Linked DNA regions of Macaca fascicularis. Each later gene encodes a partner of the first gene's protein in a complex. Links are inferred from orthologs where the notes say so. Each region holds a gene or a part of one and is shown on either strand. Other genes may lie near its edges.

The links.
Region 2: the proteins of XIAP (region 1) and RIPK2 are in contact, whole or in part, in a cryo-EM structure (PDB 8AZA), measured with the Homo sapiens proteins. The link is inferred for Macaca fascicularis from reciprocal best matches to the Homo sapiens genes XIAP and RIPK2. Residues at the interface, in NP_001158.2 of Homo sapiens: Lys208, Asn209, Trp210, Glu211, Pro212, Cys213; in NP_003812.1 of Homo sapiens: His136, Asn137, Met138, Thr139, Pro141, Ile208, Asp278, Glu279, Arg280, Ser282, Lys285.
Region 3: the proteins of XIAP (region 1) and CASP7 are in contact, whole or in part, in a crystal structure (PDB 1I51), measured with the Homo sapiens proteins. The link is inferred for Macaca fascicularis from reciprocal best matches to the Homo sapiens genes XIAP and CASP7. Residues at the interface, in NP_001158.2 of Homo sapiens: His136, Ala137, Leu140, Leu141, Gly144, Gln145, Val146, Val147, Asp148, Ile149, Ser150, Asp151; in NP_001218.1 of Homo sapiens: Tyr230, Trp232, Arg233, Ser234, Pro235, Gly236, Arg237, Trp240, Glu274, Ser275, Gln276, Asp279, His281, Phe282.

Annotation. Positions count from the first base shown.
Region 1 is NC_088395.1:130,112,841-130,116,868, forward strand, and holds part of XIAP (E3 ubiquitin-protein ligase XIAP), read left to right. Parts: intron 1-3,046; 5' UTR 3,047-3,078; coding exon 3,079-3,955; intron 3,956-4,028.
Region 2 is NC_088382.1:99,493,136-99,497,110, forward strand, and holds the end of RIPK2 (receptor-interacting serine/threonine-protein kinase 2), read left to right. Parts: intron 1-1,464; coding exon 1,465-1,626; intron 1,627-1,748; exon of another isoform or gene 1,749-1,819; intron 1,820-2,203; coding exon 2,204-2,541; 3' UTR 2,542-3,120; downstream 3,121-3,975.
Region 3 is NC_088383.1:122,773,664-122,777,691, forward strand, and holds the end of CASP7 (caspase-7), read left to right. Parts: intron 1-1,629; coding exon 1,630-1,859; 3' UTR 1,860-3,234; downstream 3,235-4,028. UniProt on the Homo sapiens protein: Thiol protease involved in different programmed cell death processes, such as apoptosis, pyroptosis or granzyme-mediated programmed cell death, by proteolytically cleaving target proteins.

The DNA of each region.
Region 1 (4,028 bases):
GTCTGCCACCACGCCTGGCTAATTTTCTTTGTTTCTTTTTTTTTTTTTTTTAAAGTAGAGATGGGGTTTCTCCATGTTGGTCAGGCTGGTCTTGAACTTCTGACCTCAGGTGACCCACCCTCCTTGGCCTCACAAAGTCCCGGGATTATAGGCATGAGCCATTGCACCCGGCCCTTTTTTTTTTCTTTCTTTCTTTTTTTGAGATGGAGCCTCACTCTGTTGCCCAGGATGGAGTGCAGTGACATGATCTTGGCTCACTGCAACCTCCGCTGCCCGGGTTCAAGGGATTCTTCTGTCTCAGCCTCCCGAGTAGCTGGGATTACAGGTACCTGCCACCACGCCTGGCTAATTTTTGTATTTTTAGTAGAGATAGGGGTTTCACCATGTTGGCCAGGCTGGTCTCAAACTCCTGACCTCAAGTTATCCGGCTGCCTTGGCCTCCCAAAGTGCTGAGATTATAGGCATGAGTCACCGCACCCGGCCTATGCACCAGATATTTTTAAAAAACCAGATGTAAGACTTTACACTTACCCCTATTAAATGTTATCTCATTAGCCTATCAGGTAGCTTTGGTTTTTTACTTTTATTTTATTTATTTATTTATTTTTTTGAGACAAGAGTTTCGCTCTTGTTGCCCAGGCTGGAATGCAATGGTGCGATCTCCGCTCACTGCAACCTCCGCCTCCTGGGTTCAAGTGATTCTCCTGCCTCAGCCTCCCAAGTAGCTGGGATTACAGGCATGTGCCACCACGCCTGGCTAATTTTGTGTTTTTTAGTAGAGACGGTTTCACCATGTTGGTCTAGCTGGTCTCGAACTCCTGACCTCAGGTGATTTGCCCACCTTGGCTTCCCAAAGTGCTGGGATTACAGGCGTGAGCCACTATGACCGACTGGTTTTTTTCTTAAGACTAGTCAAGTGCAGAGTGAGAAGAGGGAAAAGAGTAGAACAAGGGGTTTGATCAGCCTTGGTTTCTTTGAATCTTGATTTTTGTCATTCGGTTTATTATGCTGATTCAACAAAGGGCCCTGAAGCTAATGTTGGAATGTTTTCAGACATCTAGGAAATGATAATTCATCAAAAGTCATGGAGACTATTCCAAAAGTTTTATGCAGATATAACTCAGCTGTTGAGGTATGAGTTAATACCACTATAAGTTGACATGGCCAGGAAAGACAAGTCCATTGCCAACTTGCTTTGTGTTGAACATTACTCCAAAAGAGATTAAATTCTAAGACATATTGTGTCAACATAAAGGCAAAAGAGCTGGCTAATTCTTCTCAAGAAATCAATGGCTCGACCTTTTGGCTCATGCCTGTAATCCCAGCATTTTGGGAGGCCGAGGCAGGGGATCACCTGAGGTCGGGAGTTCAAGACCAACCTGACCAACCTGGAGAAACCCGGTCTCTGCTAAAAAATACAAAATTAGCTGGGCATGGTGGTGCATGTCTGTAATCCCAGCTACTTGAGAGGTTGAGGCAGGAGAATCGCTTGAACCCAGGAGGCAGAGGTTGCAGTGAGCCAAGATCACACTATTGCACTCCAGCCGGGGCAACAAGAGCAAAACTCCATCTCAAAAAAAAAAAAAAAAAATCAATTAATGCACATATAATATAGAGACAGAGTCCTTGTTACCATTATTTTGCCTTTGACAAGTTTATATTGAGCACATTATCAGGCAATGTGGGAGATTCTGGAGAACCAGGTTTGCCTCATAGCTAGGGTTACCATATGCTCTAGTTTGCCTGGGGCAACCCTGATTTATGCCTGTTGTCCCAGTGTGATTATTGCTAGTGTGATTTTTCACTTTGAGAAGTGTCCAGGTTTGGAAGATAAATTATCTTGCTATCCTTCTCATAACCTAATGGGTTCTCTTTAGTATTTTATCTGGGTTAAAATTACACAGCTGTAATTTGGCAGCTCTAATAAGACTGCAACAATACTTATCTTCCATTTGAACAGATTGTTACTTGACCAAGGGGAAGTTTTTTTTTTTTTTTTTTTTTTTTTTTTTTTTTTTTTTTTTTGAGGCGGAGTCTCGCTCTGCCGCCCAGGATGGAGTGCAGTGTTGCGATCTCGGCTCACTGCAAGCTCGGCCTCCTGGGTTCACGCCATTCTCCTGCCTCAGCCTCCCCAGCAGCTGGGACTACAGGCGCCCACAACCATGCCCGGCTAATTTTTTGTATTTTTAGGTGAGACGGGGTTTCACCCTGTTAGCCAGGATGGTCTCAATCTCCTGACCTCGTGATCCGCCCGCCTCGGCCTCCCAAAGTGCTGGGATTACAGGCATGAGCCACTGCGCCTGGCTACCAAGGGCAGTTAATAGCAAAAGTAACTGCAGGGCACATGTATGTCATGGGCAAAAAAAAAAAAAAAAAAAGCAATTAAGGTTTGCAGGTACTTAGAGTTTCTCCTGAGCCACTCTCTAGAGGGCAGTATTACATATATATCTGTAATTATCCAGTTACAACAAAAAAGGGGATCTGGTTCATGCATGAAAATCAGAAATATTTCATACTCTTAAAGAACACATTGGAACCAATATTATGATTAAAACATATTTTGCTAAGCAAAGAAATATTAAAATTAATTCATTAACATTCTGAACATTTTTTAATTTGTAAAAACTGAACTTTGATGCCTTGAATATATAATGATTCATTATAACAATTACGCACAGACTTTAATAATCTGCATATTTTATGCTTCTTTCATGTTTTTCCTAATTAATGATTTGACATGGTTAATAATTATAATATATTCTGCATCACAGTTTACATATTTATGTAAAATAAGCATTTAAAAATTATTAGTTTTATGCTGCCTGCTTAAATATTACTTTCCTCAAAAAGAGAAAACAAAAATGCTAGATTTTACTTTATGACTTGAATGATGTAATGTTAAACCCTAGTATTTAGAATTAGAATGTTTCTTAGCAGTTGTGTAGTTATTTTTATGTCATAAGTGATAATTTGTTAGCTCCTATAACAAAAGTCTATTGCTTGTGTTTCACATTTTGGATTTCCTAATATAATGTTCTCTTTTTAGAAAAGGTGGACAAGTCCTATTTTCAAGAGAAGATGACTTTTAACAGTTTTGAAGGATCTAAAACTTGTGTACCTGCAGACATCAATAAGGAAGAAGAATTTGTAGAAGAGTTTAATAGATTAAAAACTTTTGCAGATTTTCCAAGTAGTAGTCCTGTTTCAGCATCAACACTGGCACGAGCAGGGTTTCTTTATACTGGTGAAGGAGATACCGTGCGGTGCTTTAGTTGTCATGCAGCTGTAGATAGATGGCAATATGGAGACTCAGCAGTTGGAAGACACAGGAAAGTATCCCCAAATTGCAGATTTATCAATGGCTTTTATTTTGAAAATAGTGCCACGCAGTCTACAAATTCTGGTATCCAGAATGGTCAGTACAAAGTCGAAAACTATCTGGGAAGCAGAAATCATTTTGCCTTAGACAGGCCATCTGAGACACATGCAGACTATCTTTTGAGAACTGGGCAGGTTGTAGATATATCAGACACCATATACCCGAGGAACCCTGCCATGTATAGTGAAGAAGCTAGATTAAAGTCCTTTCAGAACTGGCCAGACTATGCTCACCTAACCCCAAGAGAGTTAGCAAGTGCTGGACTCTACTACACAGGTATTGGTGACCAAGTGCAGTGCTTTTGTTGTGGTGGAAAACTGAAAAATTGGGAACCTTGTGATCGTGCCTGGTCAGAACACAGGCGACACTTTCCAAATTGCTTCTTTGTTTTGGGCCGGAATCTTAATATTCGAAGTGAATCTGATGCTGTGAGTTCTGATAGGAATTTCCCAAATTCAACAAATCTTCCAAGAAATCCATCCATGGCAGATTATGAAGCACGGATCATTACTTTTGGGACATGGATATACTCAGTTAACAAGGAGCAGCTTGCAAGAGCTGGATTTTATGCTTTAGGTAAACTTTATTATAAAACCAATAAATAGCTTCCCAACTTTGCCAGGGCTCGTAAAAAGTAAATAGATGCCCT
Region 2 (3,975 bases), on another chromosome or scaffold:
TGAGAGAAAAAAGCGGTAAAGCCAAATAAATTGTTAAGCCTAGGGACTGGGAGAATGTTGGTGCCATTAAAAGAAATAAAAGTTAAAACAGGTTGCGTGCGGTGGCTCACACATGTAATCCCAGAATTTTGCAAGGCCAAGGTGGGCAAATCACTTGAGGCCAGGAGTTCAAGACCAGCCTGGCCAACATGGCAAAACCCCATCTCTACTAAAAATACAAAAAAATTAGTGGGTATGATGGTGCACACCTGTAATCCCAGCTCCTCGGGAGGCTGAGGCACAAGAAACGCTTGAACCCAGGAGGCAGGGGTTGCACTGAGCTGAGATTGCGCCACTGCACTCCAGCCTGAGTGACAGAGCAAGACTCTGTCTCAATTAAAAAAAAAGAAGAAGAAGTTAAAACAAGTTTTAGAGTTAAGAAACATTACACTTTCAATGTTTTTTGTTTTTTGTTTTTAATTTGAGGTACTAGGAGCACACAAAGGGTTGATGTCCAGAGGGCTTTTGAAAATATAAGATTAAGGTTCACAGCTGGGTGTGTTGGCTCACAACTGTAATCCTAGAACTTTGGTAGGCTGAGACGGGCGGATCACCTGAGGTCAGGAGTTCGAGACCAGCCTGGCCAACATGGTGAAATCCCATCTCTACTAAAAATACAGAAATTAGCCAGTTGTGGTAGCATGGAACTGTAATCCCAGCTACTTGAGAGGCTGAGGCAGGAGAATCTCTTGAACCTGGGAGGTGGAGGTTGCAGTGAGCTGAGATCGCAACCATTGCACTCCAGCCTGGGTGACAAACTCCAAAAAATTAAAAATGGGGGGGGAGGGAGGGAGGGAGGGAGGGAGGGAAGGAAGGAAGGAAGGAAGGAAGGAAGGAAGGAAGGAAGGAAGGAAGGAAGGAGGGAGGGAGGGAGGGAGGGAGGGAGGGAGGGAGGGAGGGAGGGAAGGAAGGAAGGAAGGAAGGAAGGAGGGAGGGAGGGAGGGAAGGAAGGGAGGAAGGAAAAGAAAGAATATATAAGGCAAAAGTTCAATGAAGACAGAAAATGTAATTGTGTGGATTGGGGAATAGAGGGGATGATTAAGTCCCTGAGGCTGAGTGGGATTCCCAGAAGAGAAAGTAGAAAGACAGACATCATATATAGATTTAGAGAACATACTTAAACTTCAGAAGGAGTAAGAAGACACAGGAAAAATATGGGACTTTGTGAAGAAGTAAAATTCTATGATTTATAATTTACATAGGACAGACAATTGCTGACAGAAATTGTAGTGAAAGCATTCCATATAAACCCTTTTTTGTTTTAAGAAATATCTACTTGCAGAATTAGGTTTCTGAACTAGCCTTAATATTAGTGGAAACTAAAGACATTGGAGCCTACCTTCTGTCTGCTCAGATGTTGACATGTTAGCCAATAGGAACTTCTAAGGCATATTCCACCTCTAATGAAGATGTTGTATTTTGTAGGAAAAACTCAACACTGTTCTTTTATGATGCTGCATCGCTGTCCTGGAAATCACAGTTGGGACAGCACCATTTCTGCGTCTCAAAGGGCTGCATTCTGTGATCACAAGACCACTCCATGCTCTTCAGCAACAATAAATCCACTCTCAACTGCAGGAAACTCAGGTAAATATTTACTGTGAAACACCTTGTAAGTGATGCCATTTAGCTTACATATTTATGTTCAGTGGGTTTACCATACAGTGAGATTTATTTGTCTTTATTTCCTCAATATGATAAATACATACCTTCTTAAGTAGGAAAACAAATCCCAGGAGATGGGAACGATGACATGGCCCACATGGTGTTCTGTGAACATCTAAATAGGGAGGCAGTACTAAGAGGAGGTATTAACATATTACTAATTAACAAATTTGCAGGTATCTTTTATATTTGAAACAAAATGGACATTAAACAAAACTGAACAAATCCTAGAAGATGGGAATGACGACATAAAGTGGTTTTTGCCCCAAGATTTATACCATATAAAAAGGCAGTGCCTTTTCTGGGGAGTGAGGGGGAGATAGCCCAAATCTCTGAGTGTTTCCTGAAAAATGATAGCATTCCCCCAAATACTGGTGTTCCATATTGGCACAATCATAGGAAAATTAGGTTTTATGCTTTATTGATTTTTCATGGAATTTTACTTATTGCTATGTATCTGTCCTCACCTTTTAAATATTCATTCCTTGCTCTTTTTCAGAACGTCTGCAGCCTGGTGTCGCCCAGCAGTGGATCCAGAGCAAAAGGGAAGACATTGTGAACCAAATGACAGAAGCCTGCCTTAACCAGTCGCTAGATGCCCTTCTGTCCAGGGACTTGATCATGAAAGAGGACTATGAACTTATTAGTACCAAGCCTACAAGGACCTCAAAAGTCAGACAATTACTAGACACTACTGACATCCAAGGAGAAGAATTTGCCAAAGTTATAGTTCAAAAGTTGAAAGATAATAAACAAATGGGTCTTCAGCCTTACCCGGAAATACTTGTGGTTTCTAGATCACCATCTTTAAATTTACTTCAAAATAAAAGCGTGTAAGTGACTGTTTTTCAAGAAGAAAAGTCGTTTTATAAAAGGATATTTATATCTCTGTTGCTTTGACTTTTTTTTTAATATAAAATCCGTGAGTATTAAAAGCTTTATTGAAAGTTCTTCTTTGGGTAAATATTAGTCTCCCTCCATGACACTGCAGTATTTTTTATTAATTAATACAAGTAAAAAGTTTGAATTTTGCTACATAGTTCAATTTTTTATGTCTCTTGTTAACAGAAACCACTTTTAAAGGGTAATAATTATTATTCTTTTTCATAACAGTGCCTTAAGGTATGATGTATTTCTGATAGAAGCCATTTTCACATTCATGTTCTTCGTGGATTATTTGTTACTCGTCTAAGATGCAATTTGATTTTATGAAGTATATACCGTTTTACCCACCAGAAACAGTACAGAATCTCTGCCCTAAAATCCCAGGCTTAATTGCTCTACAAAGGCTTATTAATTTAAAACTCCATTAATAGGATTACATTTTAAAGTTTTATTTATAAATTCCCTTTAAAAAAGATATTTCAAAGGTAAAACAATACAATATAAAGAAAAAATAAATATATTAATACCGGCTGTCTGTCTCCATTTTTAACCTCAGCCTTCCCTACTGTCACCAACAACCAAGCTAAATAAAGTTAACAGCCTGATGTTTATCCTTCTGTCCCTTTCTTCCTGCTTCTATTTAGAACATATGCTCATTTGGGAAAGGATCTTTTCTGCATATTATTATTATAATAATACATCATACTGCAACCTGCTTTTTGCATTTAATAGTACAGCCTTCCAGATCAGATATGGCTCTAACTTACTCTTTTTACTTGCTGCCTAATACCCACACTGTTTTTATTTTCTTAACTTGTCCGTATCAAATTTAGCCCAAACAATAAAAGTACAGTGTGAGCACTTTTTTGGTTAATGGGTTATATTACTATATGAGAACTTACAAGGAATAATAGCCGTTATCTGAAACCGCATAGCAAAGTCAGCAGAAAGTGAGATACAGAGTAAATTTGAAAAGATGAACTTTCAAGAAGCAACAGACCCAAACCTGAAAAAAGTTTGAATAAAAGAAATTAGATGGCATTGAGGCAATTAAATATTTTATTAGAAATATAAGTATTTTAATCTACATTTTAGCGCTTGACATTAACTTGTAGCTCTTACTGTGCCTTTCAGAAATATGGAAATCTATTAATTTCCATATTTGGAAATTAAATGAAAACTGAACACATGAGTTATCTATTAAATTTTAAAAAGCATTAAGATACAAATTTTATTTGTGAAGTAAAAAATAGAGATAAAAATTCTTTTACAAGCTTTCCCTTTTCTCTATACATACTCTAAAAAGAAATTATTTTGAATATCGATGGCCTCAAATTGACTTTTATACTGATTTCATGAGGTATATCTGGATTGATAAAATGAACT
Region 3 (4,028 bases), on another chromosome or scaffold:
ATGAGAAAAGCTATGTTAAAAAGGAGCTGCTGGGCCGGGCGCGGTGGCTCACGCCTGTAATCCCAGCACTTTGGGAAGCCGAGGCAGGTGGATCACAAGGTCAGGAGATTGAGACCATCCTGGCTAACATGATGAAACCCCATCTCTACTAAAAATACAAAAAAAAAAAAAGAAAATAGTGGGGCATGGTGGCGGGCACCTGTAATCCCAGCTACCCGGGAGGCTGAGGTAGGAGAATGGCGTGAACCCGGGAGGTGGAGCTTGCAGTGAGCCGAGATCGTGCCACTGCACTCCAGCCTGGGCGACAGAGTGAGACTCTGTCTCAATAAAAAAAGAAGCTGCTGTAACTGAGCCTAAAATTCCAAACGACATGGGTAAGAGAAGGGCTTGTCGACGGAGTACTGAGGGGCCGGATAGCCCAGTGCATTTGGTAAAACTCGGGGCTGGATCGCAGCGTATATCAGTCTTCTTGGGCTGCTATAGCAAAATACCTTAGACAAGGTGGCTTAAACAACAGACATTTATTTCTCTTAAGTTAGGGAGGCTGGGAAGTCCTACATCAAGGTGTCGGCTAAGTCACTTTCTGGTGAGGGCTCCCTTTCTAGCTCATAAATGGTCACCTTCTTGCTATAGCCTCATATGGCAGAGATTGAGAGCAAGAATGAGTGAGGTCTCTCGTGTCTCTTCTTATAAGGACACCAATCCCCTTGGATCAGAGCCCTACCCTAGTGACCTCATCGGACTTTAATTACCTCCATAAAGACCCTGCCTCTAAACACAGTCACATTATGGAGTGCAGCTTCGATAAATGAATTTTGGGAAGACATAGTTCAGTCCATAGCATTGGATGTGACAGGGCATGGCCAGGATCAAACCAGGACAGGTAGGCAAGTGGCCCTGTCATGGCGGGCCCTGTGTGCTGTGTCAAGCAGCCTGAACTTGACCCAGATAAAGTGGTGCAAGCAAACTGTTTTAGGTTAGGGAGTTATAGGATGAGATTTGTCCTCCCAGGGCATCAGGCTCTCCTGGCCCTGCCCCTCAGACAGTTGGGCATTCAGCTTCCTCGTGCCTCTGGATTTCTTCAGCAAGGTCCAACTCTACTCCCATGTACCCCAGCAGCAGGAACACATCTCAGAAATCTTCAAGGTTCCCTGCAAATTCCTTCTCTAGTAGATTTGGATTCGAAAGTAGCACTGACCCCCAAAGGGTAGTGAGGAGTTCCAGAGTTATGGAATAGACCTCCAGCATTTCCTTTGGAAGTCTGCATGTGCAGATCTGTTTCACACTCATGTATCTGATATATATCAGGTGGGTACCTCCATCAGGCTAACACAGGAGAGTACCCTGGCACCATCCACCAAGGCTGGCCCTTAGTGATGTTGTCTGTCATAGGATTTCCGTAGTGAAGTACCCAAAGCATTTTCTAGCATCTTCATGCCAACCCTCTAAATCTCAGATGTTTGCTCTCTGAGCACACCAGCATAATTCTCATTAATGACTTGTGTGCAGAGTAGAGTGAAATCATTTCTGAAAAGCAGGTGTAAAAGCCCCATAGAGTCAGTCTCATTGGTGAGTGGAGCAGCTGTCAGAATTAGCTGATTTGATTATCTCCTTTCTTTCCTGTTGAAGGCTATTACTCGTGGAGGAGCCCAGGAAGAGGCTCCTGGTTTGTGCAAGCCCTCTGCTCCATCCTGGAGGAGCACGGGAAAGACCTGGAGATCATGCAGATCCTCACCAGGGTGAATGACAGAGTCGCCAGGCACTTTGAGTCTCAGTGTGATGACCCACGCTTCCATGAGAAGAAGCAGATCCCCTGTGTGGTCTCTATGCTCACCAAGGAACTCTACTTCAGTCATTAGCCATATCAGGGGTGCATTCTAGCTGAGAAGCAATGGATCAATCACTAATGAATCAGATTTTTTTTTTTTTTTTTTTGATGCTCTTGAAGTATTCAGAAATTCTCCAGAATTTTCATTTCGGGAAAATGTATTGATTCAACAGGGAAGAAACTTTCTGGTGCTGTCTTTTGTTCTCTGAATTTTCAGAGACTTTTTAAATAATGTTATTCATTTGGTAACTGTGTAACTTTCTCTTAAGATTAATTTTCTCTTTGTATGTCTTTTACCTATTAGACTTAATACATGCAACAAAAGTGACCTCTGGAGAAAGCTTGTGGCTGTGTCCTCTGTAATTGGTGGTAACAGTGGTAGGCAGAGTCATGTTTGCACTTGGCAAAGAGAATCCCAGTATTTGACAAAACACAGCCAAGGGGATATTTACTGACCTTTATTGCAGAATGTGGGTATTGAGTGTGATTTGAATGATTTTTCACTGGCTTAGGGCAGATTTTCATGCAAAAATTTCCAGATAAGAGGAGAAAAAGCTAAATGATTCTGATATGTATCCATCAGGATCCCGTCTGGAAAACAGAAACCATTCTAGGTGTTTCAACAGAGGGAATTTAATACAGGAAATTGACTTACATAGATGATAAAAGAGAAGCCAAATAGCAAGAAGCTGTTAACACACCCAGGGCTGTGACGATAATGGGAAGAGGTTTGGTTTCCTGAGTCTAGTAGTAGGATCATCCAGAGGAGCTGGAACCATGGTGGGGGCTGCCTAGTGGGAGGTAGGACCACTAATGGATTGTGGGAAGTGGAGCCATGACAAGGACAAAGCCACTGCCTGAGATGGATTGAACTGAGTCAGATACAGAGAATACCTTGGTCTCACCTCTCCTGCCCTCACATCTTCCACCAGCACCTTACCGCCCAGGCCTACCTGGAAGCCACCTTACCAAGGGCCTTGGAAGAGCAAGGGACAGTGAGGCAGGAGAAGAACAAGAAATGGATGTAAGCCTGGCCCATAATGTGAACATAAGTAATCACTAATGCTCAACAATTCATCCATTCAATCATTTATTCATTGGGTTGTCAGATAGTCTATGTATGTGTAAAACAATCTGTCTTGGCTTTATGTGCAAAATCTGTTAAATCTTTAAAATATATCTGGAACTTTTTAGATAATTCCAAGCCTTATTTTGAGTAAATATTTGTTAATTTTAGTTCTATAAGTGAGGAAGAATTTATGGCAAAGATTTTTGGCACTTTATTTTCAAGGTGGTGTTATCTTTTGAAATCTTGATAAATGACTGTTTTTTTCTGCCTAATAGTAACTGGTTAACAAACAAATGTTCATATGTATTGATTAAAAATGTGGTTGCTTAATTCCTAACCTGTCCGGTTTGCTTTCCTTTTGAAGTCATTTATGACAATGGAGAAATGAGAAAACAGGGTAAGAATTGACCCTATTGGCTGGACGCAGTGGCTTACGCCTGTAATCCCAGCACTTTAGGAGGCCGAGGTGGGTGGATCATTTGAGGTCAGGAGTTCGAGACCAGCCTGGCCCACATGATGAAACCCCACTTCTACTAAAAATACAAAAAAATTAGCTGGGAATGGTGGTGGGCACCTGTATGTAGTCCCAGCTACTCAGGAGGCTGAGGCAGGATAATCGCTTGAACCCAGGAAATGGAGGTTGCAGTGAGCCAAGGTCGAGCCACTGCACTCCAGCCTAGGCGACAGAGTGAGACTCTGTCTCAAAAAAAAAAAAAAAAAAAAAAAAAAAAAAAAAGATGAAGAAGAATTGACCCTATTGACTTGACCTCAATATATAATATAATGTTTTTGAAGTTAGTACACTAATAAGTAAGTAATTACTTGGGAAGCCAGGACTCTTCACATAAAGGGTTAATCAACTTAGAAAGATGTTTGTGATGGGCTGCCATTTATTAATTTTGGCAGTAAAATCAGATAACATAAAAGTATCTTTCAAATAAGAAAACTAATTTTGGGTGCATTTATTAGACTTGTCCCTGGTTTTCTGCCATCTAAAATATTCCAAATGTTCAAAATTGGAGATCATAACAAGCATCCACACTGCTATTCCCAGAATTCTCAGGCTGTTCTTTGGAAAATAAGCTATCTAATAAAGGTCTCTATCACAGAAATCAAAGGGCCTAAGAGCAT